2 linked regions of the Chlamydomonas reinhardtii genome follow. The protein of the gene in region 2 interacts with the protein of the main gene of each other region in a pairwise test. Links are inferred from orthologs where the notes say so. Each region holds a gene or a part of one and is shown on either strand. Other genes may lie near its edges.

The links.
Region 1: the proteins of CHLRE_09g387393v5 (region 2) and CHLRE_09g404400v5 interact in a two-hybrid assay, tested with the Arabidopsis thaliana proteins (2 studies listed by BioGRID). The link is inferred for Chlamydomonas reinhardtii from reciprocal best matches to the Arabidopsis thaliana genes HD1 and SAP18.

The regions. Positions count from the first base shown.
Region 1 is NC_057012.1:454,710-458,483, forward strand, and holds CHLRE_09g404400v5 (uncharacterized protein), read right to left. Parts: upstream 2,671-3,774; 5' UTR 2,406-2,670; intron 2,253-2,405; 5' UTR 2,155-2,252; coding exon 1,906-2,154; intron 1,614-1,905; coding exon 1,467-1,613; intron 1,194-1,466; coding exon 1,092-1,193; 3' UTR 526-1,091; downstream 1-525. Other genes in the region: CHLRE_09g404350v5 (uncharacterized protein), read left to right, coding at 3,076-3,129, 3,280-3,392, 3,562-3,700. UniProt on the Arabidopsis thaliana protein: Links the histone deacetylase complex to transcriptional repressors bound to chromatin. Involved in the tethering of the SIN3 complex to core histone proteins.
Region 2 is NC_057012.1:3,196,318-3,200,224, forward strand, and holds the start of CHLRE_09g387393v5 (uncharacterized protein), read right to left. Parts: upstream 2,933-3,907; 5' UTR 2,806-2,932; coding exon 2,604-2,805; intron 2,406-2,603; coding exon 2,272-2,405; intron 2,181-2,271; coding exon 2,105-2,180; intron 1,747-2,104; coding exon 1,661-1,746; intron 1,310-1,660; coding exon 1,220-1,309; intron 674-1,219; coding exon 518-673; intron 298-517; coding exon 170-297; intron 1-169. Other genes in the region: CHLRE_09g387430v5 (uncharacterized protein), read left to right, coding at 3,540-3,779. UniProt on the Arabidopsis thaliana protein: Responsible for the deacetylation of lysine residues on the N-terminal part of the core histones (H2A, H2B, H3 and H4).

The sequences.
Region 1 (3,774 bases), about 2.7 Mb from region 2:
GTGTGTCACATCCTTCTGCTGCTGCAGTAGACATCCACTGCTAGCACAGCCACCGCGCGTGATGAAGTGGGAGGAACTCGACATTTCAGCGCCTTGACGCGAAAACGTGCCGGCCGGCAAGTGGGCGCCCCGCAGGCGCGGTTTGACGTTGCTAGAGATTCATACGTCTGTGACCAAAAAATCGTTCCGATCCAATACTACGCATCAACCCTCGACAAGGTAGAAGGACCCAATCGGCTGTTCGCGTTTCAAAGTTTGAAGGCAGATCGCCAAGCGACGCCGGGTGTAAGCAAAAAATGTGCAAGTCGTATGTGTTGCGCGCTCACGTTGCGGCCCCTTCGCTAAAAAGCGCAGTTGCCACCGCATGCCAAAATGCGGCTCTTCTTAAGCATCATCCGCGGCCACTGGAAGCCCAATCGGCGGCTCAGAACAGTTCCACTGGCGTGGCGCATAACAGCTGCGGGCTCAGCGTGCCTCAGGGGCTCGCAGGGCTTGGGGACATGCGCCAACACATGCCGGCACCGAACTTTCTAGTGATTACAAGCCAGTGCCTGTATCTTTCCGAACAAGTTGACCATTCCAAATATCCTTGTGATGTCGCCCGGCATGCTGTCCCCACGCCTTCCTCCACTTGTCCCTCGCACTCGCTACAGTGCACGAAGTGCAACTCCGCGCCCGCCCCCACGGTCCGCCCCCATACAGATGACTCTTCTGCATCGGCCTCCTCTGATAGTCGAACACGAACACTCACTTCCATTCCCTCAATTGCCCGCTTTGACACTAGGGAGGCCATTAACACTACGTACACACTGGGGACACCCACAAGACGCGCGAGTAGCGTTTGCACCTCCTCCTGGCTACCAGGGACACCCACGGCAAGGTAGGTCCAAGAGTACTCTCCAAAAACCAGCCTGAGCAGCACTCAAGTGCACACTCCCGACGCACTCCCCAACCAGTGTACATCCAGTGATCAGGATGACGTCCTGCGCCACCTGCTTCCACCAGCGCAAGACCTTCGGTATCCCGCCTTACCTCCCCCACACCTGTCCACCACAGGTAAAGATAAGGTGAAGATGACACAGGCATCGTCTTCAGTAGATGGAGACGTCTAGGTAGTCGCCTGTCTGGAAGTTGAGGCTGCGCAGCGTCTTGGTGTCGTCCTCGCCCGGCCGCGTGGCGTGAACCACGCCCACCTGCACGGAGCGCCAGGGGGAGAAGTGTCACAGAGCCGGGCCATGCGGGCAAGGGCGCCAAATCACATGGAGCTCTTTGCTCCTCAGGCTTCATTCAACCACGCATAGCCGCAGCGCTGGTACAGCATCCAGATTCCGCGCCCGCGCCCTGAGCCGCTCCAGCCTGCAGGCACGCCCACCTGCACCCGGTCGCCCGACACGCAAACCCCCTCCCCCTCCCCAGCAATCCCCGCCACCCTGGTCAACCCCCGCATCCCCCACACATCACCCCACCTGTCGCATGACGTTGCGCCCCTTGCGGTCGGGGTACACGAACGCGAAGCTCATTCGCGCGTTGCGGGCCCGGGCGGCGGGGTTGGCCTCCTTGATGAGGTCGGACAGCTCGCGCAGGTCGGCGTCCATCCAGGTGTAGATGGCAATCTGCGGAGGTGGAGGCGAAAAAGGACAAGATGGGGTTTGCGAGCGCATGCCTTGTCAAGTTAGGTAGCAAAGTGTGAACAGGTCAGGAGGCACTAAGCTTGGCAAGGTGGCGCATGCGGGGCTTGCGGACCCTGCACGGGCAAGCCTGTCCGCTCAACCCACGGCCGACAGCGCGCCCGAAGGGTCTCCTGCCCTCGGAGATTGTGTCGCCCAGCATCCTCCCCGCCGCAGCTCACCAACCTATGACCTGATCCCCTTTTCCTGATGCCTTTCCAGCCCCACTACCGCGCACCTCGTCGGGCAGCTTGGCCCGGTCCGTGAAGTCCTCCAGCTTGTGGTGGCCGCCCTGCTTGGGGAACACCCGCATCAGCAGCGGGCAGGTCTTCTCCCGATCAATCTCCAGAGCTGGCGCAGCGGGCTGCGAGGCGGCGGGCGGCGGACCGCGGGGCCCCGGGCCGCCGTAGGGCCCGCCGCGGGGGCCGTCGTTGAAGCGCGGCCCCCCGCGCGGCCCGTCCCGCCAGTCTTGCCCGCCCCGGTACATGGCTGCCATGCAGCGTGCTGGGGACTGCTGAGAGGGCGGGGCTGCTGGAGGTGGCAGCTATGTGGGCGCGGCTGGCACGGACTCCTTGGGCTGGGCTCCTGTATGCGGGCAGCGCGTGTTGCAGCTCGAGGGCACGGTTGTGCGCAGGTGTGCTCGCTGCGCGAGTATGCGTACCGTGTCGGGTTGGTGGGCAAGCGCAAACCCACCCCATACCCAGTGCAAGCCCGCCCTAGTCTACATCCATGGCATACCCTCAGATCGTCTGCGCCTTGGTGGTGCTCGCCAAGCGCCAGGGACCAGCCCACACAAGCTGGGATCTCTCTCAACAGGTGCTATTGTAATTACGCCAAGCCTTAAAGCACTTTAGTAGCTGGTCAAAAGCAATTTCAGAAGCAACTCAGAGGCAATGGACTGCGCAGCGTGCAACCAATTTTGCGGGCAGGTTGGTGCGCCACTCAGTAGCAGCTGCTCAGCACGTATTCAATGCTTTGCTATGCTCTAGGTAAGGGGAGGTTAAACAGCGCTATTCTTCAGTTGGGATGAGGAATGCAATGCTCTAAACCCCTCCCCATGGTTTGAGCAGTCATGTAATTCTATGAGCTAGGATCATGTCCTTCAACTATTCATAGGTCCTGGGCTGGCAGTTTGCCCTTTCGCAGCACCGATCCTTACCGGGGCCCCTCTGTTTCTAGAACCAAGGTATTCACCTTGAACACTGACATGACAGTCATCAAGACAAACATTGGAAATACAGGAATGTGCATCGGGCCGCCGTTGATTGTGCGTCCGCATTCCTGAGTGTCGCCCGGCGCCAACTCTTCCCCGGCGTTGCTGGGCGTGCAGCTGCTGGCGATCCACAAAGGGGCTATAGGCTGAAACAAAGGTTGTAGAGAGTGTGGCAGGCTCTACCGTTCTAGGAAAATGGACCTGGAGGCAGCTCAAGCGGCGGTGGAACGGGCGTGCGAGGAGTTCAAGGTGTGGCGGGGCGAGGGGGGTGTTGCGCGGGCTGACGGGTTGGGATTGAAGAGGGGCCACGGAAGCGGCACCCAGACAGAATAGGCAACTGGTCCGTGGACCATTCCCCGTCGCCTGCACACGCACGCGCGCTGCCTTGCGGTGTCGCAGGTTCCCGCCACCGCCGCTGCCGCCTCGGCGGTCCTGCTGCAGTTTCGCTCCTCCCCCGGTGTGCTAGGCGCCTGCCGCCACATCTTGGACCGCTCACACTCAATAGATGCACGGTAAGGGATGAGGGGAGCACCTTGCTCGGGCTCGGTAGGCTTAGCGGGGGCGGACGGGTTACCGTATGAACCCCGCGCGTGTTTAGTTCCCTCTGCGGCCCCGTGCTGTGATTCCCATCCGTCAAAGTTTCTGACCTGCTCCTGCATCCTGTACGGTGTGCCGCCGCAGCTTCCACGCCGCCGCGGCGCTGCGTGAGTCTGTGGTGCGGGACTGGGCGGCGCTGGGTCCGGGTCCGGAGGGCCGCACCGCACTGCGCCGCTATCTACTGGGGTACCTGGCGGCGGCGGCGGAGCAGCCCGCGCTGCAGGTGGGGGCGGGAGGGCGGGACAGCCGCGTGGCGGAGGGCTGTGCGTGCAGAGTTGATGGGGAGAGAACAAGGGA
Region 2 (3,907 bases):
CGCGCCCTCCTTTCCCTTCCTCTCCCTCCCCCTCCCCCTCCTTTCCCCCTCCCCCTCCTTTCCCCCTCCCCCTACCTCCCCCTCCCCTTCCCCTCCCCCCTTCCTCTCCCTCCCCCTCCCCGCCCCCTCCTCCCCCCATCCTCCCCTCCTTCTCCCCCGCCCCCCGCACCTGGCCAGGAACTCCAGGCAGTTGCTGTGTCCCTCCAGCGACAGGTTGAAGCAGCCCAGGCGGTCGCCGCTGAGCGAGTCGGCGCCGCAGCACATCACGATGGCGCCGGGCTGGTACATCTCCATCACCTGTGGCGACACAATGTGGACACCGACAACAAAGACTGACACGGGATCACGGACATGGCCACTCCCCGCATTCTTGCCGCTTCCTGAGTACTGTCTGTCGGAATGCCTGCATGTCTCGGACGCTTACAACACGTGAACGCCACCCCCTCCCGCGCGGCATGTGTTCATTCCCGTCTTTCATGGCACGGCCAAACCCTCCTCTCCCGCCCTCCCCCTCCACCTTCTGCATGATGGGCTCGTACAGCAGCTTGTAGCTGTCGTCGTCCATTCCGTCCTTAAGCGGCACGTTCACCGTGTAGTACTTGCCCTTGCCGTACCCGATGTCGTCCAGCGCGCCGGTGCCCGGAAAGAACTCGCCGTACTTGTGGAACGACACCTGGGGTTCGGCGGCCGTTGCGAGCACCGCGTTGGGAGCTACGCTACGATGCCTATGGAACCGCGGGGCAGGCCGCTAGCGTGCCTTCCCGACCTCCCTGCCGTCGCGCCCCCGTCGCGTGCCTCCCTCCTCCCGGAATCTGCTGCAGTCCGTTGACCGCACATCCCACACTCCAGCTCCAGTCCGCTCTGTGCCTTCGTCGCTGCGGCCGACATGCCACGGACCCACTCCCTTGCCCCAGTGCCATCGGCAGTCTGGTTGCTGCGTCTACCCTTACACTTGCTGGCCTTTCCCCCAGCTATCCCAAACTAAAGCCGCCGCCGCCACCCACAGCCCCGCTGGCTCAGCGCTACGCCAAGCTCCTGCATACTTCCTTCAGCTCCAGCCCCAGCCGCTGTCAGCCCGAATCCTGGCCTCAGACACCGCTCCCCCTTGGGCTCTTGGGCTCCGGCCAGCCGTTGTTAACCTCTTCCCCAGCCTCGGACACCCTGCTCCCAGCTTGGGCTCCGACCCGACTGCCCCTGCCCGCCGCACCCCCCCCCTCACCGTCATGACGCGGTCCGTCAGGTAGAACGCCTCCTCCACGCCGTCGCCGTGGTGGATGTCAATGTCCACATACAGCACACGAGCGTGCGTCTGCAGCCACACACACAGACATAGCGCGGCGCGCGTTCAGAGAGGGGGCACACGGGGTAACCGCCGCAGCGCGGGCAAAGCTTCCTCTTCGCTGCCTCAGACCGCCTGCTGAGGCCCCAGGCCACGAGCAGCCGACTCGCTGCAGTCCTCCGCAACCGTGTCCTCCACGCGTGCCCTCCCTTCCCTGGTCTCCTCCGCTAGCGCCACCCCAAACGCCACTCATGCACATACAGCACCCCGTCCCTTCGCCCAACGCGCGGCCCCCCGGGCCGCTTGTTTCACTCCAGTTCCTCTGCTTTGCTCAGTCACCCCTTCAGGCTCAGCCGCCGTTCAGTAAAACCCTTCGCCCACCTTGAGCAGCTCCAGAATGGCCATAACGATGTCGTTCACGTAGCAGAAGCCGCTGGCCTCCGCCTTCTTGGCGTGGTGCATGCCGCCTGCAGGGCGGAGCAAAATGCGCCAATGCGGGCCGCGGCTCAGCAGCCCGGATGGAACGCGGCTGGCGTCCTTCTGCGCTACAGCGCGTCCCCCAGACCCCAAGCTGCATGGAGCGCCCCCGCGCGCGAGTGCTGCTGCTGCGGTCGGCCATAGACACGCGGCGGCAGCCCAAGAGCCGGGGATGCTCCTGAAGAGCCTCCGACGGGCACATGTGCCCGCCTACCGTCCGCAAGGACGACGCTCTGCAAACGTGTCACACTAACACATTCACGCCCCCCGCCGTTGATAAGGAGCGTGCCAAGGCCCGGGCGCAAGCGTCATAATATCTGTCGCCGTGCTGCAGGTCCGCTGGCTCACCCGACCAGTTGAAGGCTATCTCCGCGTTGCCGCTGGCCAGTTGCGCCGCGCCGTCCACTGAGCCACCCGAGTACGTCTACAGGGTGTTCGTTGCACGCACGAGTTAGCCGTGGGTTCCATCGCAGCTCATCAACCCGGCCGGCACATCGCATGCCCCCCCACCTCACCTGGCAATACTCATACATGCCGTCGAAGACCGGGCAGTCAGCCTCTCCCGCAATGCCCATGTTGAAGCGACGTAGCTGCATCATGTTCTCATCGACCGTGTTGGGCGTCACGCCGCGCAGAAAATTGATGTAATCTGAGTCGGGGTTCACAAGGCGGGAATGAGAAGCCTGGTGGGCCCTTGACCTTAATAGCAGCATGGCAAACGAAGCTGAAAACATAGTATGAGTCTAGTGACGCTTATGGAGGCCACCAGCGGAGCCGGCAGCACCGCCCTCTTTCCCCGCCCTGCTGTGCGCTGCGTCGCCCGCCGGTCAGCCCTCTCCACTCGCACCGTCCGCGTGGAAATCCGTAAGCTCCTCAAACTCCCGAGGACGTGGCCGCTGCACCATCATCTTCTTTGTGAGCCCGTAACTGTCAACCAGCGAGTAGCACATTCGCGCTCTGTGCGGGCGCATAGGGTTGCCCCCGCCATAGCAGTAATTTCCTATCTCTTCATCGTAGAAGTAAGCCACAACCTTCTCGGCGCTCTTCATTTCGGCCTATTGCGAAAGGGCGGTCAGAAACTGGTTTTCAACAGCAGTGGCTCTTCTGCAGTTCAGTAAGACAGTCGTAAGCACGCGCTATGTAGGATCCGCCTAGTCTAGTAGCCCACTGCCGGATTCGGCACGTCCAATCGCGGAAGCGCCCATGCAACCTCGCAACAGAGACTGCCATGTCTACTAGACACAGCCTCGTCGCCACATTCCGTTCCTGGGCTTATGCAACCCAGCTTTGGCCTTTTGGCGGCGGCACAAGGCAGCTGGCAGCAGTAGGGCTCTCTACTGTCTACATCGCCCCGAGCCCAGTTCTCGGCCCTTGTCTCTTCCATGTACATTTTCAGTGCTGAGAAGGTGTCAGGTGTTGCTGTGCTGTGAAACAAGGCTGAGGGCGCTACACTTTGCATCGGAAGTCTGCCAGAAGCAACTCCGAAATCACCCCAGCCAGTGCTGAGACCTCAGAGTAAACCTAGTCAGTGGAAATTGAACGTTTATGAGGCTGAAGTGACGTGTGCCTGTGTTGACCCAGGGGTCTGACTCAGAAGTCACCTAGAAGTCCGCGCCACCTCCGTGCACTTGTCTTGCCAGCCCGTTTAGCCCTCTGTGTGTTACCCCCGCGATGCCCCTTGTCCGCACGCAGGTATTGGCGGTTACCAGGGAAGGCGTCGTGCATCTGGATATCTCAGATCGCAGAGCACATTGCCAATCGGTTGCCAGAGAATGAGATCCCCATGACGCTGCCTGACGGAGCCACAACAACCCTGTCCTGCGAGCCCCGGCACAGGACCATCAACCCGTCCAAGTCGTGCCCTCAGAACGCCTACAGCAAAAGCTGGTGTGAGCCCGACAGCCTGGAGAACAATTCATGGGGGCCGCAAGCGTTTGAGCTGGCCGTGCAGTGCAACGTCGTGGCGCGCTGCAGGTGGCTGGTGTCGCACTCTTGCGGCTACGAGCCAGTCAAAGCATTGACGGTGGGTCTTGAACCGGTACTTTTGTATGACGCTGACCCGTCGCAATATGCAGGGAACGGTGGGAACTGGGAAGCGTAGCACGGAAGTGCGCTGTACGCATGCAAGACCTCGACCGATGCTTTTCGTCA